Oreochromis niloticus: one gene and its partners. The protein of the gene in region 4 binds, or shares a complex with, the protein of the main gene of each other region. Links are inferred from orthologs where the notes say so. Each region holds a gene or a part of one and is shown on either strand. Other genes may lie near its edges.

Region 1 (7,957 bases), on a different chromosome or scaffold from region 4:
TATCTGCTCAGTTTATCAAGACACCACATATTTTCAAAAGCGCTCCGACGTTTTCGGAGACGTCTGTTACCCACCAGCTCGATAGCGAGCCGGGGGCAAGGCTCAGTAGAGCCCGTGAGAACACCGGACTCCCGGCAAATCGTTTTCAAACCCACCGCCGTCTTTCGCTACTCAGGTTAAACATACATAAGTCACTTAGATAACTTAAAAATGTTATTGTTTGGCTTTTTTAAAGTATTTTATTTGTTCCTGAGTAAATCGGTTTGGCTGAGATTAAAGTTATAGTTTTTACACAGCTGAATAAACGTCAAGCAGACAGCTGATTATCAGAAGTGTGAAATGCTCGAGAATATACTCCGGTGTCCCGTTATATTTTAGATAGCAAGGAGTTTATTAAACTTCACCGAAACAATCTGCAAATTTCATTAAAATTTAATAAACTATCATCTTGTCTTTATTTTTAGTTAGCACATACCTTAAACACTTAAAGTTGTAAGCTAATGATAGTTATATAAGAGCAGATGCTGCGGGTGCAATAAGCTGTACGTTTTACGTCCAATGGATGCATGATCTGATTAGTCGACTAATTGCAAAAATAATCGGTGACTAGTCGACTATCAAAATAATCGTTTGTGGCAGCCCTAGTAAAGATTCAAGTTACAATTATTTATATTTCCTATCTCCTTAAATCTTCACTCAAAGACAAGTATCTTTGACAGTGTGTATATAGATGTATCATATATAAAAGACAAATATTGTTCTTTTAATATGTTGGCATTACTACATTTGGCTCAATGCTTACATATATGTGTAAAAAGAAAATGTACGAGCTGTGATAACTGTTGCTGATAAAATGAAGAGTAGACTGATATATGAAATATTCCTTTATTGGGTGAGAAAATCAGACCATGTCATAACTGCTTTAAGTCATACAGAATAGACATCAGAGCTTTAAACAGGCTGACTTCTGCTAAATGGGTCAAACTGGGCAGAAAGTCTACAAACACATAACATCCTTATAGAACATGATGTAACACTATAGATCAACTTACCTCAGAATATGTAAAGCATACAAACAGTTACAGCAATGTGATGCAACAAACACAGCAGTGCTACTAATCCAAAATACTCAAAGCTTCATAGAACTGAAACAAACATTTATTTTTAGCTCCATTCTGCTGCTGATATATACTTTAGGTTTCTGAATATGAAACTTGTTGCTGCCTTTCATAGTGTGTAACTTGAAGGCCCTGAGTACTTTCTCCCACACTGAAAACACTGGGATGATAACATTATTTGAACATTACCTAATAAGACTGATTCAGGACAGACAATTAGTTATGTTAAACTTTCCCAGCAGTCCTTCACAAACAGGGAACAGTCTGTCTATTCTCTCCATCTGTCAGCTGCTGCTGGCTCTTCCTCCTCCTCTTCCTCACACACTGCTGAGTTTGTCCTGGTGGATCATCAGGGCTGCAAAGCCTCACAGATGATGTGCAGCAGTGGGTCCCTCAGTCTGTCCTCACTCTGGACACTTGCAGTTGTCACACATGGAAATCAAATGTGCGATAAGCTGCAGGATTCAAACACAAGTGTAACTTATAAATACATGTTCATACTTTTATTCCACAATCAGAGAGAAAGAAACAGAGAGAGAGTGCAGGACAGACAGACAGGTGACAGTCTCAGGTGTATACACTGCTACAAAACAGCACAAGAGAAGGAGGATTTAGTGTTTGTGTTATTACGAGTACTAAAGAAGAAGAGTTCCCAGATGGTCCAGTGGACACATGTGTGACTCCTGTGATTAAAGCATCTTTCTTTCAGCTTAACGAGTGAACCGTCAGCTCGTTCAAACACACGTTAAAGTCCGTTTGGCTCGACACCACCGAACAGAGGCAGCAATATAACATAGCTAACATTAACAGTGCAGTGAATCCTGCTTGTGCCGTCATATTCAGGACTGCAAACCGAGCAGCATCACTGACTTTCAGCTTGTTGTGTTTGTGGATATATGACTGACTTTAATTATCCATAAAATCATCACATTCTCTGTAAGATTAAGGTCAACTATTGAACGGCGTATATTTTAAATAAAAGGCTTTAAAACCAAGTTAGTACAAACATCACTAATGTCACATAACTTTGCCGACATGTGGCCAACAGTAATGTTTTAATGTTCTTCATTATTAAACATTCGCACATATGTGAGTGACATCATATTCAGTACTTATGTTGGGTCTAAACTCAGACCCCGCTGTATCCAGGACTTATTCCCATGAAAGAAAAACAAGGCAACAGTGATCGATCGTTTTTACTTGCGCAAGGGAGGCCTTTGGTCAAGACCAGCTCTTGGAGCTCACGCTCCTATCTGTCTCCAGCCCAAAGTCCTTCAAAGAGCAGCTTCCCTCGCAGCTATTTATTGACAAACTGTTACAGTTCACACAATAGTTTACAACACGTACCTCCCCTCTTAACCCCCCTTGTTTACAAAGACGAGGCACTGTATGTATATATATGTGTGTGTGTGTGTGTGTGTGTGTGTGTGTGTGTGAGAAAGAGACCTCCTGCTGGGCAGGAAGCTTACATCAAACAGACCTTCCAGATAGGATGTGTCTGTAATCAAACCTACAGCCCCTCACCTAAAAACTCAAGAATCTGGGGAGGGGGACAGTGGAATTCCTTTCATCCTACAGTTAAACAATGTAGAAATGGATGGTAAGCATAAAAATGACAAACATTTAACCATCCACTATAACAACTTACTTTTGAAAGTTCACTCTTCGGCCGCTCCACTTCAGCCGCCTGCCGTATTTTTCGGCAAAATTATCCACACCCACCGCCACGCTATGAATTGTGGGATATATGTGACCACGAAGTGTACACCGGACCACACTTCAAATTTGGGGAAATGGACGGCAAATTTGTCGACGGCATTTGGAGTACACTTCGAACTGGGACAGGCGTCGTCACGGTGCTGTGGCATAATCGGTCTCCAAATGCGCACTACGAAGCATGTGGTCGCTGGGTTGGGACAAAGCCGTAGGCAGCGAAGGCTGCGTTCTCCAAGGATGCAGACCCTGAATTGACACACATGAACCTAATGACAGGACAGGTGAAGTGAAACTACATACAATGAACAAAGAACACCAGACTCTTTCAAAATACAACCGGAAACATGGAGACATAGACATGACACGAACTTGACAACAAGGACAACACAGTCATGAAACATGACAGGTAGACGTGTGGACCAGGGAGACTTAGTACAGGGGAAGATGACAAAAAGTACTAAGAAACAAAGGACTAAACTGCAATCTAAAAATTAACTACATGAGCTAAACTAGAACATAAATGAATACAAAAGATACATAAAAACTCATACACTGGGTCACACGACCCAGTACCCTGACAATTGCTGTGCAATGCCCAACCATTAAATGACAGTAAGAACTGACAGTAAGATTTACAGATTACTACAAAATTTACAGATTTTAACTGAGAAATTTACAGTAAAACAATGCAAATAACGATTTACAGAAGAAATTATGGATAAAAAGAAATTATAAATTATAAGAAGTGTGCAAATAAACAGAGCGTGTCCGGTGCAGTGATGTATGGGACTCCAGTCATGTCCTACAGCTGGTTCAGGGCCCGAATAGCCTGAGGGAGGAAGCTCCTCCTCATTCTCTCTGCTTTGGTCTTAAGGAAGCGTAAGCACTTCCCAGACCTCAACAGTGAGAAGAGTCCATTATTGGGATGGGAGAGGTCCATCATAATCTTCCTAGCTTTGGTCTTACACTGCTTGGTGTAGATGGACAGCAGGTCAGGAAGCTCTGCTCGAATGATGTGTTCGGCTGAGCGCACCACTCTTTGCAGATCTCGTCTGTCCTGCTTGGTGCTTTTCCCAAACCAGGTGCAGATGTTTCCATCAGGACGCTCTCGATGGTGCAGGAGTAAAAGTTCTTGAGCACCCTCAGTGGCAGATGGAAGTCTCTGAGTCTTCTGAGGAAGAAGAGACGCTGGTGAACTTTGGATTCTAGCCAATCATTTTACCTTTGCAAGCGTAGTAGGCGGGCCCAGATACATACATTCTTTTAGAGCTACAGATTAAAAATACCCAAGGCAAAGCGGTCAAAAGTCTGGCTGTACTTCACAGCAAAAGATGCAAACTCAGCAGCCTGCAACAAGTGCTTTAAGCTGATACTGTGATACTGTCAAAGGAGGTAACTCCTCGAATCTGATGAAACACCTGGCGATGTATAGCATTTTGTTAGAAGCCGAGAAATGCGCCATATTTGATAGCTTGCTGCGAGACCTCACACCGAGCACATCTACTGCGGGTGTGGTGCCTCGGACCCGGAGTTAGCAACATCCCCCAAAAACCCGAAGAGGAGAGTCCTGGCCCCTAGCCCTGCCAGTGTAGCAGAAATGATGACGATGATGATGGCAGCAGCAGCCGTTCTTCTCTGCGTGAGTATGAGTAATGTTGTTCGTGTGTAATTTACGTTGAGTAGGCTAACCACATTATTACATTAATGCATGTAAGGTGAACTAGCAAACACCGTCGTAGTTACATGCGGCTGTCTTCTTGTTTGATGGCAGGTACTCCCTTCACCCTGGCCAAAAAGGCTAAAATGACCAAAGAAAAAGTGGGAAACAGTTAAACATGAGAACATGAGGTTTTTGGACAAAGTTTGTGTTTTTACCATTGTTTAAGCACTGCTTCCAGCCAAGAGTGATGCCATATATGCCCTATAGCTGCAGAAAAGGCTAACTTTGTAATTGTTACTTGTGCTTCACAATAAAATATCTGAAGAGAAATAAAGAACGTTTTTTGGAAAACCAAACAAACAAAAACACACACGATATTGACTTGAGAGCAAGCTTGAGGATTTGTGCAGTTGTAGCATCCAGCCTGTGAGGGACAGTAATGCTTCACCTCTGCCTATTACTAACAAAGAAGAACAAAGCGGAAGTGACCTGCGTTTCCGGGGCGCGCGGTGATCGCATCGTTTTGTGGTTGTTGTTTTTATTTTTGTTGTTGTGGTTTTAAGTTTTCAGGAGATAAACATGTATGACCAGGATGAAGGTGAGCTGCACAGCCGTAAAACTTCATTACGTCACATGGTGGATTATTTTATTTGCATTTATTGGGTAATTTTATTAACAGGACGTGACAGAGGAGCTAACCCGTGCTACAGCTAACCATTTTAGTAATTTCTGAGAGAACAAAAGCTAGTATCACTCATCCAAACAAACACCTGTCACACAGGTACGCGTCGGCTTCACGCAGATCACGAGCCTCACCTGAATCGTGTGCTAACAGCAGCTAAAAGCAGCGGGGCTTTGTGTGAGCTAACAGGCTAAATGCTGCTAACGCACGAGGACCCTTTATTTAACTTATCGCTGCAGACGTTTACACTCAGCGTTACTGTGACACTACACCCACAAATACTGCAATTTATAAACAGTACCACAGTATAAACGCGAACACTTATATTATGTGTAAATTCTGCAGTATAAAAACAGTGTACAATCCGCCACATTTACACAGTATAAACACTGCATAAAGAAAGCTCTACCGTGATCAGAGATTGATCAGCGATGGAAGTAAACGTTGACCACAAGATACTTGACCGATCTATCTTTAAGTTAAAGGTGAGAGGTCATTACCCAGTTTCTCAGGGAGGCAAAGCTACAGGCAGCAGGTCAGTTCCTCCTGTCTTCTCCTCCTTACCTCCTTTTAACCTGTAAAGGTCATGAAATGAAAGAGATGATGAGAAAAATAGACGTGTGCTGTGCTGAGACACACTAGTCTCCTCAATTACGTGAGGCTGAAGGGCTGCCGTGTTAAAACTACAAAGTGCAGAAGATGGACTACAAAATGTCTTCCTTCATCACAGGTGTTTTACAGGTTGTGATAATGAAAATGTCCCTTCAAAGACAGGACAGGATGTCTGCTGCACCTCAAAACACTCAGCTGTCTTTATCCTGGAATAACTGAAGAGGTTTAGGACTCAAAGTCAGGGACAAAGTGTTTTTGCAGTACACTAATGACACAAGTATTTGTAAGAGGTTCCTTTCAAGAGCAGAATATTTAAATGAGCCACATTAACAGGATTTGTTCCACAAACTTTAACTCTGAGTAAATAGTTTGTGAAGCAGAGTAATAGCTGATTTGATCATTTATGATTCATTTGAATGAGGGGGACGAGAGAGTTTGTAATCAGCTCAAAGCTGTGAGAGCAGGTCCAAGACTCCTCACTTAAGTGTTTCAAAAGCCAAGCTTGGATTTTATGAAACAGTTGTTTGAGCTCACAGGGAGCGTCATCTGTAGTGTGAGAAATGAAAGTGAAGTGTCTGTCAGACTGCAGCTGTTAATGAGATTCTGTGTGGGCTGGAAAACGCTGAACGTTGGATTTAGCCGTGTGTCACCTCCATGACTCGTGATCTGACAGTAAATCATCACCATCGTGCGGTCAGCAGTTTGGAATCAGCTCTCTGATGAACCCTGCGGCTCAGTCTTCAGGACCTCACAGTTCATATCAACAGAGTTCTCCTGATACAACCAGCTTCAGGCTGTGTGCTGCATTTGCCTGCACTCAGATAGGAAGTGATGTCATTACACTCAACTCACACCAACAGGAAGTTTACTTAACAGATCAGATGTGTTGCTTCTGATTGATCAGTTTGCGTGATCAGAGCCAGTGAGTTGAAAACAGAACGATCAATAACTTTCCTGTGAGATTGTCATCTGTTTTTATTGATGTATCTGATCAATTCACCAGTTGTTTAAACTGATCAGTAAACTCTATGTGCAGTTATCTGTGAAAAGGAAGCAACCTGAACCGACAATCTGTCATTGATTGATCGGTGAAGCTTCTATGTCTCAGTATGTGTATTGCTCATGTATATTGATCCCTGCTGTCTCTGTCAGATAATCAGTATGATGAAGATGATGATGAGATCACTCCTGACCTGTGGCAGGAAGCGTGCTGGATCGTCATCAGGTAAACTCACCTGTGTGTCTTTGTGGAGATGTAGTGATCATCTGTTCTTACAGGAAAAATATTATGGTGAGTCCACACAAAGCGCGGACCGGAGGGCATGTACACGGACCCGCCATCGGTGTTCAAAGCTGACAGCTCAAAGGTCTCTGATGCTGCAGGTTTTGTCTCTCTCTGAACCAGCAGCAAAAGAAGATCAAACTACGTTTCTCGTTTGATAAACATAATCATTAATTCCCTCTGACTTTGGCTAGTTTCCCATCTCAGATCTCTGTTTTTTGCATTATTCACTGGCTCATTACCCACCAGCAATGTTCCCTCTAAGATACGCACGTGCGCAATTGCGCACTGCTGGCACGGTCTCTGTGCACAAAAAAAATTAACCTGAATTGCAATTAAAATTAAAACTTTAACAATTCTGTTTTGCAGTGTTAGCCAGTGAGTGACTGGCTGCTCCCGTATGGGATTAGAACGATTCCACCTTATCCCACAGTCCAGCCAATAATGCGATTCACATTCGTGTATATGCAGCCAATCATCGTCGTTGACAGGCTATGACAGCGTCCTTATGTGCCGACACCGGTGTTTTAGCTGGCAAAGCAGCGTGGCTGATGTGGAGTGAAGCCACGTTAATGACAACGTTTCCAACCATTGGAGATGTGAGCAGGACAGACGGAACAACTGACGGAAAAAGTGTGGACTTTATACCAGTTTTTAAATTGTGTTGATAGGCCACGTAAAACCAGAGTTATGATAAAATATCTGCAATGTTTGGTTTTCTTCCTGAATACTGTCGTTGTTTATATTTACTGCGGGAAGAAACGGTAAAAACGGCGTTTTATAAGGAAAACGCTCGAAAGCCTGTGAACAAAGACAACACCAAAAACCCCGCCCTTTCCTATTGGTGGAAAAATGTACCATGTGGACCAATCAAAAAATGATATGGC
Region 2 (6,183 bases), on a different chromosome or scaffold from region 4:
CCGAATAAATCTAGTTACTTCACCCAGTCACATTACAAAGAAAGAAAAATAAAGATGTCACATAGTGAAAAGAGACTATTTACCCAAAATTATTTTCAATTTAAAAGGCTTTAAAAGGGCTTAAATGACCTTCAATACATAATTGTATTATTTTGATTTACATTAGACACAACATCCCAACATTTTCAAAAGACCGTTTTAAATATTTTTAGACCAACTTTAATCAGAATGTCAAATATGGAAAAAAACTGAAAGTCACTGTTAAACGACAAGCAGCTGTCGATTTATTTAACTTCGGATCCTTGCTCCTTTCATATCAATTATTAATAATAATAATAATAAAAAAACAAACACATGGTGCTGCAGACACAGTAGCTTTAATCTGCAATTTAAAGAAGGCAAAGAAAAAGAAAACATATTCTGGAACCTGCTATCAAAATGTATTTGAACTCCTTGAGCATTTTCACAGTAATCCACTGTAGTCTGCAGTTAAAACACTGCAAACATTTATCCAGAGATCATGAGCAGTCCATGGCCAAAAAGTAACACTTCTTCTGACAGTTTGCGTTTATTTCTGTGTGATGGGGAATGAATTCTGGTCCATCAACTCTCCGACTCTCTCCTGGAGTGTTTGAACCACCTCTGCAAGAATGAACACGTGCGTGTCGTCAAGATCCTTGAGGATGAATTTCTTTCCCAAGGCCATCGTTTCATCCAGGTACAGGAGAAATTGTTTCATGGCAGGATCACTAGTGCATACAGCAAGAGAAAGTTAAAGTTTCGGCTACTTAAAAACAGATTTCTGTGAAACTAGCTACAAATATTTATTGGCAAAGTTACAACCTTACCATTCAACAAGGACACCTTTGTGCACGTTGACCATATTGATGCAGAGAAATGGACAGTCGAAGCCGATTAAAGAGCTGAATACCTGCAGCACAGTAAACAAACCGACAGCTGAAGGCCTCAAGTAGAAGCAGCTTTACGGCAGCCTAAACCCTTATTAAGGCACTAAACAGTAAGATAAACGCTTCACATGTTTTCGGACATTTTAATAATATTTTTATTACCATTACAACAAAGAAAATACTTGTAAACGTTTAAGTACAGCGTATGCTAGCTCTTTGTTTTAGCACCGGTTAGCATTAGCTCAAAATAGCATGGCCACGGGCATGTTCTGCTACATACCGCGATCTCAAATATCTAAAAGAGCAAACTTCACACATATACATATACATACCTGTCTACAGTTAAGCGAAGGATTAACATAAAGCAACAAACAGCCTTTTATCTACCCGAGATCTCCAGCTGTTTCTGCTAAGTTTTCAAAGCATTGATGGGTTATGTAAGGTGTGCGCCAAGGGACAATCTTCTGATGTCCAAATATCGCGCTAGCATGTTTTAAAAGCTTTTGCTGCTTCTGTGCTGCTTTTCTGTCCTTGGTAAAGGTTTAATGCTTTATATTTTAGTGCATATCAATACTGTGGGTTTAAAAAAAGCCTACGTTGTGTATAGATGAGTGAGTATTATGAAGAAAATAATGCAATATTTGTACCCAAGTGCATGAAATGCATTACAAAAAACTGCATCATGACATTGGTGCAAAATGCAAGTTAAGATCCAGTATAAAATACAGTACTGTGCCATTTTCCCCCTTCTGTCACTAACAGGAAAACTATGACAACTTGATACCATATATATACACTCAGGACCACTTATAAGGTACAACTACTCTGCTGCTCCTTAAGGCAAATATACAATCAACCAGTCACATGGAAGTATTTTAGTGCACTTAAGCATGTAGACATGATGACCAAGATGACCTGCTCAAGTTCAAACTGAGCATCAGAATGGAGAAGAAAGGTGATGTGGGTGACTTTGAATGTCGGGTGATTGTCGAGTACTTCAGAAATTGCTGGTCAATTGAGCTACAACCATCTCTAGGATTTATAGAGACTGATCCAAAAAGAGAGAAAATATCCAGTGAGCAGGAGTTCTCTGGGTAAAAATGCATCAGAGCAGAATGGTCAGACTGTTTGGAGCTGATAGGAAGACAACAGTAACTCAGATAATCACTTTTTTATATCCAATGTATGCAGAAGAGCATCTATGACTGCACAAAACTTTGAACCCTGAAGCAGATGGGCTACAGCAGCAGAAGAATAAGGTAAGAATAGCAAACTAATGTTTCTGAGGCTGGTTTAATGGTGTAGGAAATGTTTTCTTGGCACAATTTAGGCCCCTTAGTTCAACCCATTTATTGTTCTGGACCATGTCCATCCTTTTATGATAACAGTGTGCCCATCTTGTGATGGCAACTTCCTGCAGGATAAGACATCATGTCACCAAGCTCATATCATGTCATACTGGTTTCTTGTATGAGTTCACTGAACTCAAATGACCTCCAGTGACCAGATGTCAATCCTCTTGAGCATCTTTGGGATGTGGTATATTCCTATCATGGATGTGCAGTTGACGAATCTGCAGCACCTGTGTGATGGTATCATGTCAATATGGGCCAAAATCCCAGAGGAATGTTTCAAATACTTTGTTGTATTTTGTACTTTGTATATAGAAATGCATAGATGACTCATAAACCCTCAAACGTTACACATTTATTCATTTCATTGCCAGCATTTAGGACTGCTAGTGGCAGTGGGGGCTGCAAACACATGTATTAAAATTAATTTGCTTGATCAGTCCCATACAACTGTATGTGCAATCTGAACTAAAGGTATTAACTCAGGTCCACTTGAGGTAAGGCTTGGGAAAGAATATGTTTTGGCACATAAGATGATAATCACACTATAGTTAGAGTAAAACAAATACATATAAAAATAAAGTCTTAAACCTTTGCTCTGGTCAAAAGTCAAGTTGCATGAGTGGCAACAAAATGTCAGTGCATTTTTAAGTAAATACAGTAGATAATGAGCATTATGTATCCCATGATTAGCTGGTAATAAATCTAAAATAAAAGGAAATCTAGATAAAATTGTAATGTGCTTAATTTACTTGTAAACATAAGAGTTGTTTTCTTTCAAACTTAGCTGATGTACAATTAAGAGACCGATCTCAGTGGATGACTTAAAAAAGACCCCAACAACAAAAAACGCACCCTGCTATCGTTATCACAACTGACAGGTTTCCACATATATCCGTGTGTAAAATAAATTTGATTTCGTTAGCTATACTGCAATTGCATTTGTGGTGCTTCATGTGAATGTGCAGTTATTTCTCTGTTTGGTTTGGAGTGTGATATACATTTCAAGTATACAGCAGGTGGTCTCAGTGTCATTGTTTTTATAGATTTCTGTCAGTGGGTGACGTAGCTCTGCAGAGCGTCCAGGATGAACTGGAGGCTGCGTTTGTATAGAAATGAGTCCTTCCTCTCTGGTTTGCAGATGTTTAGGTGATCTACGTCCACTTCAATGAGCTCACCAATCCCGAGATCTGAAACCACAACACGATGAGACGCAAGACATTGCTTCAACTATGTGTTTTTTTTAAAATATTTAAGCTGTACATTTCAGACATTACAGTATTTGGAGTTACATACTTGCTGACTGCGTTGGTACCACAAGTATCTTGATCATGGGTCCAATGTTCGTCGGTAGTGTCTCTGCAAAGCTCAGCACCTTGAAATCCTTTTCTTTGGCCAGGTTCAGGAAGTTATCATTCAGGCTGCGCAGAGCTGGTGAATCTTAAAACACACACATCAATTCACATTAGATGCTGAAAGAGTTTCATAGACCACAGAATTCATCATATTCACTGACCTTTACAGAGTTCTCTGACTTCTATGGAGGGGAAGAGAAGATATCTGACATTGACAGAGTACTCTGCCATGAAGGTGCCGTAGTGAGGAACACTATAAAACATAATCCCTTTGGTGTTCTGTAATAACCCATGCATGTCTGGGTCCTGTGAGGCATCCAGCAGCATTTTCTTCACAAGCAGTCCTGCAAGAGAAACCAAATGCAAGAGGATAGATTAGTAATTTCTTTTTTTTTTTTTTCAAGTTTGATTCAAGGGATCTGCATAAAAGTCCAACATGCTTGTGGAAGGAAAGATGTGGGAGAAATACCTCCCATACTGTGGGCTACCCAGACCACAGGCCTTTCTCCAACTCCTGCCAGCTTTAACTTCTTTAGCAGCTCCTGACTTCTGTAGGCTAGAGACTTCCTGGAGAGACAGATAGTCAACCCTTTAATCTGTTGGAGTAATTAATCCAAGGGCACCTGACTTTGCAAAAATATTCTGTTTTACCAAGAGTAGCACCTTAATCACATGTAGACGTATAAAGAAACTACAGATTTATCGTTGTTTTTTTTGTTTTTTTACCTCTGATTCTCAGCAGGACACTGGGCCATCCAGTCACTTAGATGACTGTCATACTCCACCGACAGCACTCTCAGATTTGGACAGTCAGCAGCCAACCATGACTGACAATAAACAGTGATAAAACGACATGGAAGAACACTGAGATAAATCTTAAGCTGTGTGAGACCTAAGAGTTTCACAGAGACGACAACACACTTCTAAGTCTTGAAACACTCAATTTCACTGTAGGAGGAAAACACTGAAATAATCCATTAATGTAATTAGAGGAATCAGGTGCCTTTGTTACCTTTGGCCAGCACTCTGTATAGTCATCTTCGCATTTGGCTGCCTCCTCTTCCTCTAACGTATTGCGGTCCTTCTGCCTCCACGTCTTAAAAGCTGCCCCTAGAATCCCGTGTATGAACAGCACGTCTGCTTTGATTGGCTGACTGGAAATTGAAAACATTGTCAAAGATGATGGTTTGGTTATAACAATAAAATAAAATGATGTTAATGCATTTATGTAACAACTGAATTTGTTTTCCTACTTGCTACGTGTTTGTGGGTGCAGGATATAGACACCATCTGGGTATTTCTCTTTTACTGTCTCCCTGTCCAGGTTTGCAAGAGCACGAGCTGCGTGAGACGCCTGCATGATATGAGGGCACTGCATCATCTCAGCCAGGACAGACACCCAGCCTGCAGGTGTTTTATGGGTAAAGTAGGGGAAAAAAAACAGGAAAGTGTGAGCAGTACGATAAAATTTATAAGTTGGGGTGGATAACTATAAAAGTAAACACATTTTTTTGTGATGGTGACAATCTAATCTCTAATTGAAACAAGCACAACATATATTTTAGACCTTACTTTCATAACATCTTTAGCGCACCCAGTCAGGATTACACATAATCAGAGCTGTCTCCAGTTTATTCAGATTAGTTACAGACTTACCGGACTGGGCTATGGCCTGATGGGCACCTTCATTGAGAGCCAGGTTTCCGATAATGCGAACAATGTTCCTCTGAATCTTCATAGAGTCTGTTCTGAGGTGATAAACCCTCTGGAGAAGCTGTAGACCTCCGTTGGCAACTATGTGGTCACAGTGGCTCCTTACCTGCAGATCGCAAAGTATTAACCACAAGGCAACATCCAGACAGGGGGCGCATAGAATTGACCTTAATACACTGCTACAATGACCGCAACGAGTAGTAAGTAAGTAATCAAGCCACCGACTCCAGACTAAATCACCTTTGGATGCACAATGATGATTACCTTTGAGTGTTGTACCAGTGCCTGCAGACAGAAGGACTCCACCTTCTCAGAAGGAACAGAGGTGAGGCTCTGGGCATAAGGCAGCCCATTGCCTCCAAAACTCCACAGACCACCCTGGAACAATGAAGCGCACGTGTTAATGACAGGATATAGAAACTAGCTTTTTTCTTTCTTTTTCTTTTTTTTTTTTTTTGCACATCCCAGTGACTGTTGTCCTCCTGTTTAGACCATCACCTTCCTAAAGACTGTACATGTATGTGTAAATCTGTGATTGTCACCCTTTGTGCTGCCAAGGACTGAGTGCTCTCTCTCAGGGCCAGTGAGGTAAAGTACCGAACACATTTGTCCACCTCAGTTTGAGGCAGAGATGCCAAAAGCTGCCTCAGTCCGTCCTCCGCTGACAAACCCTGAGAAGATCACATTATAGTGAGATGCAGCACATCTGTGAGGTAGGCATTCAAATGGCAAATATCCTAAAGAGTAGATTTGAGTACCTCCCCCAAATCAGGCAGTGCAGGTGGGTGACGGAAAAACCTCAGGTCTACCTGAGGCGTCCGGGCCAAGCCCACTGCTGTCCGATGGTCTATAACC
Region 3 (7,410 bases), on a different chromosome or scaffold from region 4:
TGCCTTTTCTTCTTTTGGTGTTTTAAGTGTCCAACAACAGTTCGACCCAGACACCTGAGAATTCAGCGCAGACAAATGTGAGAAGGACACAGATAGATCGAAAAAGAAGATGAGAGAGAAACACAGAGTCTGTGTGTGCTCGTGTATGTGTGTGTGTGGGTTTTTTTGTGTACAAGAGCTACTTTCAATTCAGAAGCTGTGACATGGAACTGTCAGTGAAGCCTAGAAGTGCTGACAGGTAACACACACACACACACACACACACACATAAACTTTGTTCACACTGTTGTAATTGAAAGCTGTCACTTTGAGATTTTCTCCTCCACAGGGATTTGCACTTGGCTGCGGCTCCGGGACTTCACTCATCTCGTCTTTTTGCTATTACTCCTCACCTTTAGACCCACTCTCTCCCTCTTTCTGCCACTGTAGTACATAATACACAACCCCCTTTGCTGTTTCCTTCCCATATACACTCACACAACCAAAATCTGCCAAAAACAAAACAAAAAACAAAAACAAAGAAGAAGCAAAAAGAACTAACTACTGATCCTGTATAAAGAGAGCGTATTGACTGACTGACTGCACATATTTGCCCAGGTTGTAGGCTGGAGAGCAACTGCAGTTGTTTGGTAATGGTGTGATTGAGTCATCTGAAGCAGAATAGTTTACACGTGTGACTTCACCATCCTTAATATTCCCAGACGTCTAAATCGTATCCCTCGCATTTCCATTCTCTCTCTGCTACGACTACACGGCGTAATTCATTAATTATGGATTAGGGCCTAAATTAGGTTAGCCCATCTTTAATCATTTATGTGGACTCACTTCTTTGACTGGCCCACTAAATCATTAAGTAGAAGTTTCGGAGATGCTAATTTGTTCTATGATCGGCATTGGACAACTGAAAGTTTTGATGAGCTGATGTATGTGCAGATATTGTTTGTAAGGACCGAGAGCATTTTTCTTTTCTTTTTTTCTTTTTTGGGGGGCAATGACACATCAAACCAAGGACTATGTTGAGATTTTGATATCAACAACTCAGGTTTTCGATATTATGCAGGAACAGATGGAGGATACGATTTTTACCCGTAAATATCCACCAACACGAAGTTCACAGACACATACACACATACAGTACACCTATTCATATTTCCCTATCTCCATGTAGCTGCTAGTAATACACTTTTTAGATCTTTTTTTTTCAGCGTATTAAAGCATCTTTTCTGTTAAAAGACATCAATCTGACAGAGCTGTTGATCCCTGCTTACTTTACATGCATTCTGATAACAAACACATGAGATAACAACACGGCATGCAGTTTGCCAAGAGAAAGGCAAACCGAGTCTCAGCATTGTGCATTTTCTCTCACTCAGGGGTTAGAATACAACAGTCAATAAGATGTACAGTATGTCAGTGCAATACACAAATGAATAGGAATGGGTTTGTATTTTTTTTTTTTCACCATCTTAATTGATTTTGATTTTGATTTTTCTCATATAAAAAATTCAGAATGACTTACAGGAAGACTTATGTATTAAATAGGCCTGAAGTCAGTGATTTATTGTGAATGGTAAATGTTAGAAAAAGGCTCAACAAGCATGGCTTGAAGTTGCAATGACCCAGCCAAAGTCCAGAAGTCCAGATACCTGACTGAAATGCTGAGGCAGGACCTTAAGGGAGCTTTGCATACACAAAGTGCAAATGTCAATGAACTGAAACAATGATTCCAAGAAGAGTGGGCCAAAATCCTCCACAATGATGTTAGAGCTGTAAAGGAAACAATTACTTTAAGTTAGTGCTAATTCTACAAGCTACGGAATCAGGGAGTGTACTTCGTTTTCCACAGGACTGCACAGAGTCTCGTGAAAATGATACTTTTCCCCACAAGATCTCCTTTGAATGTAATCATCAGCTTTTAATCTAAGTGACTATATTTACTTCAGAATTGGTTAATTCACATGAGAGTTGGCTGCATTTCTTTCTTCTGGCTGTGTTTGTCTTTTAAAAGCATGTTTTAGTCGATTTAAACCAAACAACCCACACAGTCCCAATGCAGAGGATAAGCTGTGTTTTTTAACTTGATAAAATGTTGTAAGATCTGAAACCAGATCTTTATAGAGGCTTCAAGCTGACAGACAGTGTGAAACACAAGTGACACAGTAATGCTGTGGAACAAAGATCCCGATGCACTGTGCTGCACAAAGCAGCTGAACTTACAAAGAGAGCTCTCTGACACTATTTTCAAGCCAATCAAACTAAAAAAGAAAACTATGAAGTGCTTGATTTTAACATCCAAGGAACTTTTGGATTTAGACAAGCTCCTGCTTAACTCTTGAATAAAACAAGGAGGCACCCTTCTTTTGACATTGTGTCTATGTATAAAGCTAATGCATGTGAAGCAACTGAGCACAAACTCAGAAATACCATCTTTTATTCGTCTGCTTCAGTTTGAACTGAACACTGTGGCCCAGCTCTGTTTTATGGCTTCCACACTCTGCTGCTCCTGGGTGCTTAGCTCTCTCATTTTCTTTGGTGACTTGGTTGTACAGCAGACTGCAGCCTTATCTCACCTCTTCTCACAACTGATTACCCACTAGTGGAGTCCCCTTCCCTCCTCAGTCAGCAGTCTGGCTTCAGTCATATGAACTGATATACTCAGTTTTATTTAATAACAAAACCAACAAAAAAGCAGGGGGGGGGGGGGGGACATGTGGCCTTTTTAAGTTTGAACCGACTCAAATTTTCTCTCTAAATACAATGAGTGGTGACAACTAAGGCCAAATCATATTTTATTCATCAGGGTGCAAGATAAATTATAACTCAGTTGTGGCCACAGGCATAAAAAATAGTCAGCTTTGTTGCAATAACAATGGAGGTAAAGTGCTGCAAACAGTCATTTTTTAACTCCTGGATTGTTTTCCTCTTTTAAATTAATCCCTGAAAAACTAAAAGGCCACAGAATGTGTTTAAGCACAGCAGATGCCAAGATGTTTATCGCTACTGTTGTTATGTTTTGGGTAACATTTTCTCCATACTGAATTAAAGAATCGCGATCAGAATATTTCATTACCCCAGGTGGAAATGGTTTTGTTACAGACATTCACTTAAAGTGTTATATTAAATTAAAGTTAAATACTCCAAAGTTAAAACAATGAATCATACAGTATAGACAAGATATTACAAGTGTAAATAATACAGGTGTCATAAGGAGGTGCCCTAAAGTTTGATGGTCACAGGTAGGAATGACTTCCTGTGGTGTTCTGTGGTGCGTTATGGTTGAACCTGTTCCTGTGATTCCCCACGACAAGATGAAGATGGTACAAAGTCCAGTCTAATATTCACTGTAACTCAGAAAGGATCCTCCTTTCTAAAGCGTCTGTCACAGAGTCAGTTCTGGACCCACAATATCACTGGCCTTTTAAATCGGTTTATCGAGTCTGTTGTTATCTGCACCCCAGCACGCCACAGCACAGAGGATGGCACCGGCAATGAGGGGATCATAAAACATCCTCTGTAGCTTGTTTGTTTTGACATATATGTAATGCCATTAAAAGGTAGGCAGCGCTTTTCTTTCAGTTTGATGCTGTTTTTCTTACTAATTACTTGAGTCATTCACACTGAATAACGTATAAAGGCAGTATCTTAAGTATGAGAAGCAGGAGTTTAAAACAACCACTAAGTGGCGATGCTGAGCCAATAATCTCGTCCCAAAATAACAAGAAGTCCAATGATTTAAAATAAATAAATAAATAAATTACACAAAACACACTCAAAAACAAAGTAAAGTAATCATATCCTGTTTTGCTTTTTATTTTTTAATCAGAACTGAAGAACAGAAGAAGTAAAATAAAAGACTTTAATTTGTCTATGTAAAACAAAAAACTTATTTGTGACACATAAATTTAGATTTGGTGTATATTAGGCGATAGCATATTGGTTATATGAACCCAATTTACAAATAGACTAGCAGTTTTATATGAAAGTTTATTTAACTCCCATTTTTAATGAACTATCATGCAGTGGGATCTGTGAGCTAGAAATAATTATGTTGATATATATTTTTATGGCTTGTCCTGTTTAGCGTTTCAGTAGTTAATAAGAATATTGATGTGACAGTTAGTATAAATCCTGAGTAGTACTATAGTAAAATAGCATAAAGGTGAGACCAAACGTTTGCACAAACAAAAATTACTGCGTGATCTTTTTTCTTTTATATTTTTTCTTTTATAGTTTATTAAAAATGTGTAAATTGATGTGATTTTGTGGTGGATTAAAAAAGCCATTTAATAGAAGTTATATTTCGAAAATTTTTGTCATCAGTATTTTCTAATCGTGCTTTTATTCATCATAAATCATCGTTTTGTTGTACGTATGTAATGACGTCATGCAGGCTTCGCAGTCAATACCGGAAAAATCGAACTAGAAACGGAAGTGCAGCATGAGGAAAATTGTGTGTGAAGTTTACTTGTGTTGTCTCTGAAGGAACGACAAAAAAAACAGTGATTCGGTGGAGGGCGCATTCTGTTTTACATCTACAGCATATAGTTAGTCCTCTTGGACTAACCCTCTTCTTTCTCTGAGTGAGAACAGGAACAAAGTGTCAGGTAAAGTTGAATTAATCGGGATGCTAACGCTAGGTTAACTACCAAGCTTCTGGTACAGTGTTTCGCCACGTTTGTTTATGTATCTTGGTTTCCCCATAATACTCAGTAACGTTCGCTTCTGAACATAACCTTAGTTGTAGTTACTATGGAATTTACATGATCACAAAGTCAACTTAAACCCGTCTGTAATCGGATTTGAAAATAAACTAGCTATTGTTAGCTAGCTTTATATTTATGGTTCTGGGGCCAGTGACTGTTTTCCCTCTAACGCCATTTAATTCTGTATTTGGCTGTCTGACTTTTCAGCTTAGTTTTTCTTAATATATCAGTTATTTTGTTGGTATCAGGAAAAACCCGTTTCGTAATGGCTTATTACAAAAAGATAAAGCAGGTGACAGCTCTTAAGTCCCTGAAGCTAAAGGCCATCAAAGGTTCTTGCTACTTACACGTATACTTACATATATTAAGAATGTGATTCCTTGAATCCATCAAAATGAGCTTTGTTGCTTTGCCTTTTGTTAAATGAATCTTCATTTTTTACATCTTTCAAACAGGATGGATCCTGCTCTACTGAGAGAAAGGGAGCTTTTTAAGAAAAGGGCACTTTCCACCCCAACTGTAGAGAAGAGACAGGCTGCGTCAGACTCTGGATCACACAAAAAGAAGAAACCCAAAGTTGACAAGGAGAGCTCCTCTAGTTCCAAACTCAGTAGCGGTAGGTGAAGAATATTTTCTTGAAAAGGATGATGTTTAGTGCTGTAAACCACTTATTCTTGTTTATTAGTGTTTTAATGTCTCTTAATGTCAGTGCGCCCCAGGGTGGCTGTGGCTACAATGTAGCTTGCCATCACCAGTGCGTGAATGTGTGTGTGAATGGGTGGATGACTGGATGTGTAAAGCACTTTGGGGTCCTTAGGGACTAGTAAAAAGTGCTATACAAATACAGGCCATTTACTATTTAATGTCTCTATAGGTTCACATCACCACTAGCCTTTTCAGCTAGTGATGCTGAAAAGGCTAGCATCTGTAGATATATGTTGGCAAGTAGGAGATGCATCGACTGACTGGCCAGGGACTGGATTCTGCAGATTTCCAGTGCTTAGCCCCGGCCAGTGACTGGCCAGTCAGTCTCCCATATAACGGATTGTATAGCGGTGTAGGCAAATATTCACATGCACTCTCACAGCCTGACATGGTGTTAGTGTGGAAGCTTCTCATTGTGAGTGAAGAGACAAAGTTCACCAAAGTACACTGTAGGGCAGGGGTGGGCAACTCCAGGCCTCGAGGGCCGGTGTCCCTGCAGGTTTTAGATGTGTCCTTGAACCAACACAGCTGATTTAAATGGCTAAATTAGCTCCTCAACATGTCCTGAAGTTCTCCAGAGGCCTGGTAACGAACTCATCATGTGATTCAGGTGTGTTGACCTACGGTGAGATCTAAAAACTGCAGGACACCGGCCCTCGGGGCCTGGAATTGCCCACCCCTGCTGTAGGGGTACCAGCGAGAAAACCTTCATAAACAAGAAATCTAATTAGACATTTAAATATGAAAAGGGAATGTGGCTAACGCTAAAGTTTCACAAAGCTCAGAGCCAGACACAAATGAGCATCCTCAGTATGGCTTAAAGCAACTATGAGGGAAAATTATGGAGACGAGTGAATAAAAAAAAAAACTAAAAACGTTTTCTATTGATTATTTGAAGATCACCTTATTTTCTGTTGTTTCAGAAAATCCTGTAACTTAATACAGTTTGGGGAAAGAAACATTAATAATTTCTTTAATGGAAAACATATTTTTAAATGAAGAAAAGTAGATTTTTGTTTATCTGTGCCATTAATCACAGTTCTTAGAAAATCAGAATCTATTCGCAGCATAAGAGGCTTATTCTGTACAATATGATTGCTCATATTTGGACACCAAAACAATTTTCATAAAGACTTGATAGTAAATTGAGAATCCATGTGGTTAAAGTTGTGCATGTCAGTTTACTGTGATTCAACAAGATAACCAAGACACTGGAATAATACACTCTCCTGGTTGTTATTTCTAATAAGAAGGAACCTTACTTCACAGGTTAAATTGACCAGGTGACAATCTTTTCTCATTCTAAATCCTTAGCTTAAACCAAAAAACTAGAATTCTTACTGCTCAGTCAAATTTAGTTAAAAGAAAATTGGATTACAAGTGATACTTATGACATTTTTGCATTTAAAATGTTCTTTCAGATGAATTAAAGCAACACGCATAACTATATACAACATAAGAATTGCGAGCAGTGGCTCTTGGCATCCCTTCGAAATTTCAACGTCACTCCATATACTCTTGAAGAAAAAGCTACTTCTGTTAGCAGAAAAGTGAGTCAGCTTTTATTAGGCATTGTGTGGTAAGGCATGAAATTACACATAGTGCTCAATATGACATTTTACCGTACATCACTGTGCAGCATGCGAACTTGTCATGAGATAATGTTGCAGTGCTAAACATGTTGACAACACTGGCTTACAATTTACTGAAGAACACCAGCTTTATCCTAAGCAATGATTTCATCTGACTAGGCTTGATCAACAGATATTGTTGTCATAAGATTAGGACGGCAATTTCAGAAAAAGCATGTCCCGAAGAAGCTCACTGCATCCAGTAGGTCACAAAACGCTTAAAGCACTCACACAGTAGTTGTTTTTTCTGAACAGTTTTTTTTTAACACCCATATAGCAGGGTAAGAAAAAGCTTTTTTTTCAGTGTTTTTTGTTCTCCATGCAACTTAATAATCAGTTTCCAAAATAATCAAACTAAGAAAATGCCCATT
Region 4 (7,703 bases):
ACGGTAGTTATTTTTTATCTAACACAATTTTCTCTGTTCTTGACATCTTTGCAGACAGTTGCAAACTGCTTTTCTTCATCTATGGTACTGAAAAGCAAACAGAGTCACAGCTTTATATTTCCAGTTCATTCATTTAATTTGCATGTTTATTTGTTGATTACAATAAGTCGTCTTCTGTAGATGGTTTCAGGTGTTGGAACACTTACCAGCACAAGCAAGGTGAGCAGTGAAGGAGACGGGGAGACTGGTAGTATTATTCTTGGCCTCTCAGAGCAGCTCGTTGTTGCAATGACTCCGTCGACTGAGACGCAAATAAAAAAGGAAGTACACACTTCAACAGTGGGTAAGACAAAGCTCAACCTTATGCTAATAGGTCAAATTTGAGTTCTTAGTAAATACAAACATAATGAATGCATATCTGTGTTCAAGATATGAGTCTAGTGGCCATTGGTTCATTGAGCCATGACAGCAAGAGTTCATCCCTCTCTGCCAAGGAATGTGAAATGAAAATCAACTTGGAGGATCTAGCTAGGGCCAACAATGGTAAGAGCTTTTTTAAAAAAATGATGACTGACACAGGTGCATCAACATCAGTGTTTTTGTTGTTGTTGGGTTTTTTTGTGATGTGATCACTTCCAGGTTCTATATCAGCCGCCTTTCTGACGCTAAATGGGATGGAGAGCATTCTCAGTCATCAATACTTCAAAACCAAGAATGTGACAGAGATGTACTCAGATGTTTTAACTGCCATAATACCAGGAATAAACACCACCAACCTCACAGAGCCTGTCAACTTTACAATTCAACACAAGAAGGTGTAGCATCAAGATTGTACACATAGAGTGTTTGCCTCCTTCCTGTTTTCCTGTTTTTTTTGTATGTTTGTCACACTTAAATGTTTCAGATCATCAAACAAATGTAAATAATAGACAAAGATAACGCAAGTAAATACAAAATGCAATGTCTAAGTGTAGGTGTTTGTCATTAAGGGAAAAAAAAGTGATTGCCCCCTAACCCTAATAACTGGCTGGGCCACCCTTAACAGCAACAACTGTAGTCAGGCATTGCAATAAGTGGCAATGAGTCTTTTACAGCTCTGTGGAGGAATTTTAGCCCACTCATCTTTGCAGAATTGTTTTAAATCAGCTACATTGGAGGGTTTTTGAGTGTGAACCACCTTTTTAACGTCGTACCACAGCGTCTCAATCAGATTGAGGTCAGGAATTTAACTTGGCCACTCCAAAGTCTTAATTTAGTTTTTCTTAAGCTGGAGGTGGACTTGCTGATGTGTTTTATTATCCTGCTGCAGAATGTTGTTGTGGAAGTTTTAGATTTAAATAAAGCCTGCAGACAAGCGGTGAGTGGTAGCTAACATTCTTTAACAACATAATCGTGCTTTAGAGTGAGGTCTTGAACAGATGGCCGACATTCTCCTTCAGGATATTTTGGTAGACAGCAGCATTCATGGTTTTCCAGGTCCTAAGGCACCAAAACAGCCCCAGATGTAATGGGACTCAAATCTTCCAAAATCCTCTCCTTTTGTCTCATTAGTCCACAGAATATTTTCCAAAAAGTCCTCAAGATCATCAAGATGGGTTTTTTTTTTGGCAAAGGTGAGATGAGCCTTTTGGTCAGAAGTGTTTTACTTCTTGAACTCTTCTGTGGATGATATTTTTGCCGAGTCTCTTTCTTATTCTTGAATCATGAACTCTGACCTTAACTGAGACATGTGAAGCCTGAAGTTCTTTAATGATGTTCTGGGTTCTTTTGTGATGTCCTGGATGAGTTGTGAATGTGCTCTTGGAGTAATTTTGGTAGCCCAGTCACTCCATGAGGAAGCAGGAAGCTTTCCAGACTCATAGCTATCAGTGACTTTGTTTCTCAGTTGTTTCTTTAGATTGTGGTATGATGTCTTACTCTCTTTGACCAAAATTAACATTTGTGCTTAATATGCAAGACACTAGGAAATCAGGAAGGGGGCAAACACTTTTCACATATTATATTGAAAAAGAATCAGACTTTTTATTCTTGCCTTTGTTTATTTATTTATTTTTTTTAGGAAGTACCAGAAAATGGAATGGTCACTTGTGTGTACTGGGAAGCTGGAGAAGCCGAAGGTGGACAGAATGGAGAGACAATGCGTTGGTCAAAAGAGGGTTGCTGGGTTGCATACTCTCAAAAAAACTACACTGTTTGTAGCTGCTCTCACCTTTCTACCTTTGCTCTCATAATGCAGATTGGGGAGGTATGTTAGTTACATGTTGGTAAGGTTGAAGCCTCATTACTTACAGGACTTAACATACTTGTACATTTTTCAGATTTTATTAAATTCACAACCCACAATTTGACAAATGGAAACATGCAGTGTATATAAGCGGTTAAATCCCTTTTTACATTTTAAGTGGAAGAAAAAAAATGTTTTGTAATCAGTCAAAATTTCTCTAGAACTTTAATTCGGTATTCTGTCAAACTGCTTTGTCAACAAGTATAGTACACTTTACATACCCAGTTTTAGACAGGTTATCCCACACTTCTTGGCATATGCTATCAAACCTGGGGAATTGTCTATGGACTGAAGGGAGAAATAACAGAAGGACTATAAATTGAAATAGGGTCCCAAAAACTGAACTGTAAATTGAACTGTGGACTTGTGGAATCATTACAAGAATCATTACTGCAGAATTAGAAAGATACACAACCTAAAAATTGCTCTTAAAAAATCTTCAACTTGGATTAAGTCTGAAATGGATCACCTGGATCTTAGACATTTGTCAGCTTTAAAGCATTTTAAAAAGCCATCCATTTTCATCTGCATCCATGTATCTCATTTTCAGCCTGTGCCACAGAATGACTTCTTAGAGTGGCTGAACCGGATATGTGTGATTATTGGACTTTTCTTTTTGGCTTTGGCCATCCTTACCTTCCTTCTGTGCAGCTGGAATCCCAAAATTAACAATACTGCCCGTCTCCACCTCTGCCTCAACCTGGCTTTTTCGCAACTCCTCCTGCTCTGGAATGACAAATACACTGATAATAAGGTACAACGTGGCTAAACTACAAGAATTATCAAAGGATTCTCTATTGTGTTCCAGTTGTCCATAAAGCTTACATTCATTTATCCGTCTCTACAGCTGGCCTGCACTGTCATGGCAGGGCTTCTCCACTTCTTTATTGTTGCCAGTTTTGTGTGGATGTTGCTGGAGGCACTACAGCTCCACCTGTTGGTTAGAAGGCTCTCCCAGGTGAAAGTCATTCAAAGAGATGGTCTCCCCAGGCCTCTTCTCTATCTGATTGGCTATGGTGTTCCATTTGTGATTGTTGGTGTTTCTGCACTGATCTATTCTGATGGATATGGACGTACTAAGGCTAATGTGTAAGTCGGACACGGTGCAATGCACAGATTTATGTATTAAATCCTTTTATTACTAAATGTACAAGACTGGATAATGGTCTCTAATGTGCGTTTTCATTGTAGATGCTGGCTGTCAGAAGAACGAAACTTCAAATGGGCTTTAACAGGGCCAGTGATAGCGATCCTTGCTGTGTGTCTATTTTTGTGTTAGAACTGTATTACACATTACATGTCTTTTCTTAACGTCATAATTTGTCTCAAAATTAAATTATAAATCTGTTTATTTTATCAGCTTAATTGCATCCTGTTTGGTGCAACTTTATGGAGTCTGCGGCCCACCTTGGCTAACATAAAAAGTGATATCTCTCAGTCCAAAGATACAAAGTAAGTTTAAGGTTTTATTTAATTTAAAGAGCAAGCTCAAATTCTGAGTAATCATTATGATTTTTGTGTACTTAAAGCAGCTTTTAAAAAAAAATGTCACTCAGTAGAGACTCGAGACTAATTGCAATTTCCATTCTGATTTTGATTATTTGCTAAATGACAACACAGATTTTTCCCTATTTCAACTACAATTGACATTATATAGAAAGAAAATCAACTTTTTTCAACACAAAATATTATTTGCATAATAAAAAATATTAAGCTTATTAAACTTTTGGTCCAAATTGAGTAAGTTACAGGATTTTCTCTGTCAAGCACGCTACTAATTGAATAGAAATTAGCTGCTGTATATCCACCTTTATATCAGATACTTGCATCATTTTCCCGTATACTTATGAATTCACTAGATCAGAGCACATCAACCCTTTTCTCTTTTTTCTCACCTGTCTGTAATTTTCCTTTCACAGCTCTTGCCTGACTCTCTTACTTGTGGTTGGTTCTGAGCTGTGAATAGTTTAGCTTGAGTCACTTTTCATTTGTTGGCTAATTTTAAAAAGTACACAATTAAGTGTTTGATCAGGTTTGTCATAACAAACATTTTCTATGGTGGTTTACTTTGGCGAACTTTGTGTCTTCACTCGTGGTGGGGAGTTTCCATGCTGGCAACTTGTTGGCATGCGCCTGTGAGTGTGTGCACAACTATTTGCATGCTTTTCCATGTGCAAGTAAATAGTTTTTTATTTGTGCACTGTGAGTGTGTAGAAATAGTAGTTTGTAACAATTTGCTCATGAAATGTATGTGCAAGACGCTGACCAGCCAGTCCCCCTTCTGGGCCGGAGAAGACTGGAAATTGGGAGATACCTTTCCCTTGCCAGACAATCAGTTCATCTCTAGAGACTAAATATGTCATCCTGTTTGACTATAAGTGCAGTTACAGTAGAGAAATAAATTCATTTAGCATACTGATGTGATTTTATTTAACATCCTGCTCCAATGTTTTGTAAAGAACTGTAAAAACTTTGTTGTTCTGTTTGCAGGTTGATTTTGTTCAAGATATTGGCCCAGTTTGTTATACTTGGCTGTACCTGGATTCTTGGCCTGTACCAGACAAACCTGTTCTTTCAGGTTGTTTTTATAGTTCTGAACTCCCAGCAGGGTACTTTTCTCTACATTGTCCACTGTGTCCTCAACAAAGAGGTAGACTCGTTATACCAGTGTTTCTTAACATTTTTCTCACATACTATATGTCAAACTTTTTATAATTCATTCTTCATAAGAATGCTGCACAGCAAGAAGGTCCTGAGTTCAATTCCACTATCAGGCCGGGGTCTTTCTGTGTGGAGTTTGCATGTTCTCCCCGTGTTTGCGTGGGTTCTTTCCGGGTACTCCGGCTTCCTCCCACTATCCAAAGACATGCACTTAGTGGGGATAGGTTAATTGATTAATCTAAATTGCCCATAGGCGTGAATGCGGGAGTGAATGTGAGTGCGAATGGTTGTCTGTTTCTGTGTTAGCCCTGCGACAGACTGGCGACCTGTCCAGGGTGTACCCTGCCTCTCGCCCTAGGCTCCAGCGCCCCCCGTGACCCTGAAAAGGATAAGCGGAAGCGAATAGATGTGTTCTTTATAAGAGAAAAAAAAAGATTTAAGTTAAATGTAGTTAAATAAAAGCTAAACTCTGCCCCACTAGCAATGGCTCTGTGGCTCTATGGATCTAGCTATAGGGCATGCACCACAGTTTGAAAACTCTTGTTTAATAATGACCTGCTCTGTGATTTAACATCATCTCTATTTACAACATATTAGTGGTATTTTTTTACGAGTTTTATGGTGAGAGTAAATTAATTTATTTTTCAAAGTGTGCATTTATTTCATATTCTAGATTAGAGATGAGTATGTCAAATGGCTGACCTGTTCGTTCAACAAGACCAGAGAAGGCGGCTCAGTGGTAAGTTTTGCATAGCAGCCACTTGACCAATGAGACTTTTTCACTTTGCCTACCTGTGTTGTAAATGTGACTGCATAAAGTGTTGCTTTGCTTGTAATAAATTTAAACCTTTTCTAAAAATGTTTTTTAGTTCTTCTAAAGTATCAGCACTACTTTTTTGACAGAAAAATGTACCATCAGTTTCCGAGGACTTGGACATCCCTCAGACGTCAACATCAGCTGATGTTGATAAATAAGTGACGGGAAACATGGAAGAAATAGAAGATTTATCTACTTTTCTGCTAATAACTTTTTACTTTCTTTTCAAATATTTCAATTTGTACTGTGAATTTACCTTGTAAGTTCTTTTGTCATGAAAAATTAGTGCATTTTATGTAATACTTGTGCTTTTCGATATTTAGAAAGTATTTTAAACTACTACTTGCTGATTAAATGTCCCAAGTTTTTCTCCCAAATGTTCACCTTTATTTTGAAAAGGTTATGGCCAGATATAGGTGCACCCAAATCATACATCAGATTTTGGGTTGCACAACCAGTTATTAGGGCTAGAGGACAATAACTTTTTCACACAGGACCAGGAGGGTTTGGACAGCCTTTTTTCTTTAATAAATCTAGTTGTTAAGCAAACATTTGCTTACTTAAGTTTTAGTTTTGCTTACTTAAAGTTGCTTAATGACGATTGATCAACGATTGACCAATGATTGATTCAGTGGGTGGAGTCAACTATTGTACAACTGGCTTGTAATACAGTTTTACAGGATTGCAATATACTCCTTTTAATGCTATTAAAGTGCTTGGTTGTGGAATTTACATACTGCTTAATTTGACTCAATAAAGTTACCTGACACCCAAAGTTCTGTTTTTGACCTTTTAAATGAATTTAAAGTAAATACATTATTTACTTTAATTTAGAATTTAGGAGGAAGAAAGTTGGTCACTAATTATCAGTGTCCCATAATACGGTTTACTCATGGGTGCCTTTTTGGCATGAGGAAAGGAAGGAGTCTTGCCCTTTTTACAGGCCTGAAACACAGCCGCACAGTATGACTACATTTTTCATGCAGGTGCCATGATTACTGCAGCTTGACGAGAGCACACAGTAGGGTGCTGGTGGAGGCTGAAGGAGGAGTAGTTGGTAACATAAAGCAAATGCAGGCACTGATCGTATACATATGAATTAGCATACACAAAACACTGATACGGTTGGTCTCGAAGTAGGAGGGAGCTCTGATGCAGGTTTTGACTGAAAGCTTGAAATGTTTTTTTTGTGTGAAAGGACAAATATTCAATAGATCAGAAATACGAGATGGACTAGAGAAAAAGAATGACAAGCAGGACAGCCCCTGTTTTTTAATTTCACAAATAAAATAGCTATTTGATAAATTTTGAAGTGTATTTTAAAAGTCCTTAGTCTCTAAATTGATTTGGTCCAGATTTTAACAGTATTGGGAATTTTAAGTATAACTGTGTTCATTGTCTTTGAGATCTGAGAAAGGAACTAAAGAAAAGAATAAATGCTTCACAAATCTGACAGGTTTTTTTTGTTTAACATGAAAAAGACATAAAAGTCCTGCATGTCACATTGTGTGTATCTTTCCTAGGTCCTTAACATAGTCAACACAAGTTGGTGAATTTGCATTGCTTTTTGCATTCACATAATGCTTTTAAAAGCAATATTTGGGTGTTGTTCATGTTTTACAATGTGAACATTCAGAACAGATCTGGAGACTTGACTTGACTTGTCACTATGGATTGTGTCTTGTCACTTTTTCTGGGTAAGTGAATTTGACAGAGAAAATAAACTTTTTGGAACTGAAGGTATTAAATTGATGTCAGTGCTAATTTTAATGAGAAAACTAGATTATTAAGATGGAACAAATTTTAGTTTAGATTCTGGATTCAAAGAGACATATGTCTATTCAAATAATGGTAAATTCTAAACAGTTACTATTACTGACTACTTCAAGTAGCATTTCATAAAGATATGTGTAAATTTAAGTCAATGTTTACAATACTTTA

What was found.
Region 1: gtf2f1 (region 4) and polr2b share a complex: the UniProt entries of both Homo sapiens proteins name them as parts of the TBP-based Pol II pre-initiation complex. The link is inferred for Oreochromis niloticus from reciprocal best matches to the Homo sapiens genes GTF2F1 and POLR2B.
Region 2: gtf2f1 (region 4) and gtf2h5 share a complex: the UniProt entries of both Homo sapiens proteins name them as parts of the TBP-based Pol II pre-initiation complex. The link is inferred for Oreochromis niloticus from reciprocal best matches to the Homo sapiens genes GTF2F1 and GTF2H5.
Region 3: gtf2f1 (region 4) and gtf2e2 share a complex: the UniProt entries of both Homo sapiens proteins name them as parts of the TBP-based Pol II pre-initiation complex. The link is inferred for Oreochromis niloticus from reciprocal best matches to the Homo sapiens genes GTF2F1 and GTF2E2.

The regions. Positions count from the first base shown.
Region 1 is NC_031966.2:36,396,757-36,404,713, reverse strand, and holds the start of polr2b (DNA-directed RNA polymerase II subunit RPB2), read left to right. Parts: upstream 1-4,956; 5' UTR 4,957-5,073; coding exon 5,074-5,092; intron 5,093-6,940; coding exon 6,941-7,013; intron 7,014-7,957. UniProt on the Homo sapiens protein: Catalytic core component of RNA polymerase II (Pol II), a DNA-dependent RNA polymerase which synthesizes mRNA precursors and many functional non-coding RNAs using the four ribonucleoside triphosphates as substrates.
Region 2 is NC_031980.2:11,769,134-11,775,316, reverse strand, and holds gtf2h5 (general transcription factor IIH subunit 5), read right to left. Parts: upstream 1,304-6,183; 5' UTR 1,241-1,303; intron 932-1,240; 5' UTR 884-931; coding exon 849-883; intron 750-848; coding exon 569-749; 3' UTR 507-568; downstream 1-506. Other genes in the region: protein SERAC1, read right to left, coding at 3,314-3,450, 3,557-3,700, 3,777-3,959, 4,085-4,182, 4,342-4,442, 4,628-4,769, 4,869-5,019, 5,272-5,434 and 3 more. UniProt on the Homo sapiens protein: Component of the general transcription and DNA repair factor IIH (TFIIH) core complex, which is involved in general and transcription-coupled nucleotide excision repair (NER) of damaged DNA and, when complexed to CAK, in RNA transcription by RNA polymerase II.
Region 3 is NC_031971.2:23,286,483-23,293,892, reverse strand, and holds the start of gtf2e2 (transcription initiation factor IIE subunit beta), read left to right. Parts: upstream 1-4,404; 5' UTR 4,405-4,604; intron 4,605-4,870; exon of another isoform or gene 4,871-5,035; intron 5,036-5,158; 5' UTR 5,159-5,159; coding exon 5,160-5,319; intron 5,320-6,942; exon of another isoform or gene 6,943-7,410. UniProt on the Homo sapiens protein: Recruits TFIIH to the initiation complex and stimulates the RNA polymerase II C-terminal domain kinase and DNA-dependent ATPase activities of TFIIH. Both TFIIH and TFIIE are required for promoter clearance by RNA polymerase.
Region 4 is NC_031969.2:16,047,437-16,055,139, forward strand, and holds the start of gtf2f1 (general transcription factor IIF subunit 1), read right to left. Parts: upstream 2,835-7,703; intron 2,573-2,834; 5' UTR 2,506-2,572; intron 2,246-2,505; coding exon of another isoform or gene 2,060-2,245; intron 816-2,059; coding exon of another isoform or gene 640-815; intron 544-639; coding exon of another isoform or gene 430-543; intron 344-429; coding exon of another isoform or gene 181-343; intron 85-180; coding exon of another isoform or gene 55-84; intron 1-54. Other genes in the region: adhesion G protein-coupled receptor E2, read left to right, coding at 55-84, 181-343, 430-543, 640-815, 2,060-2,245, 2,835-3,038, 3,132-3,373, 3,476-3,542 and 4 more; adhesion G protein-coupled receptor E1, read left to right, coding at 7,432-7,459. UniProt on the Homo sapiens protein: TFIIF is a general transcription initiation factor that binds to RNA polymerase II and helps to recruit it to the initiation complex in collaboration with TFIIB. It promotes transcription elongation.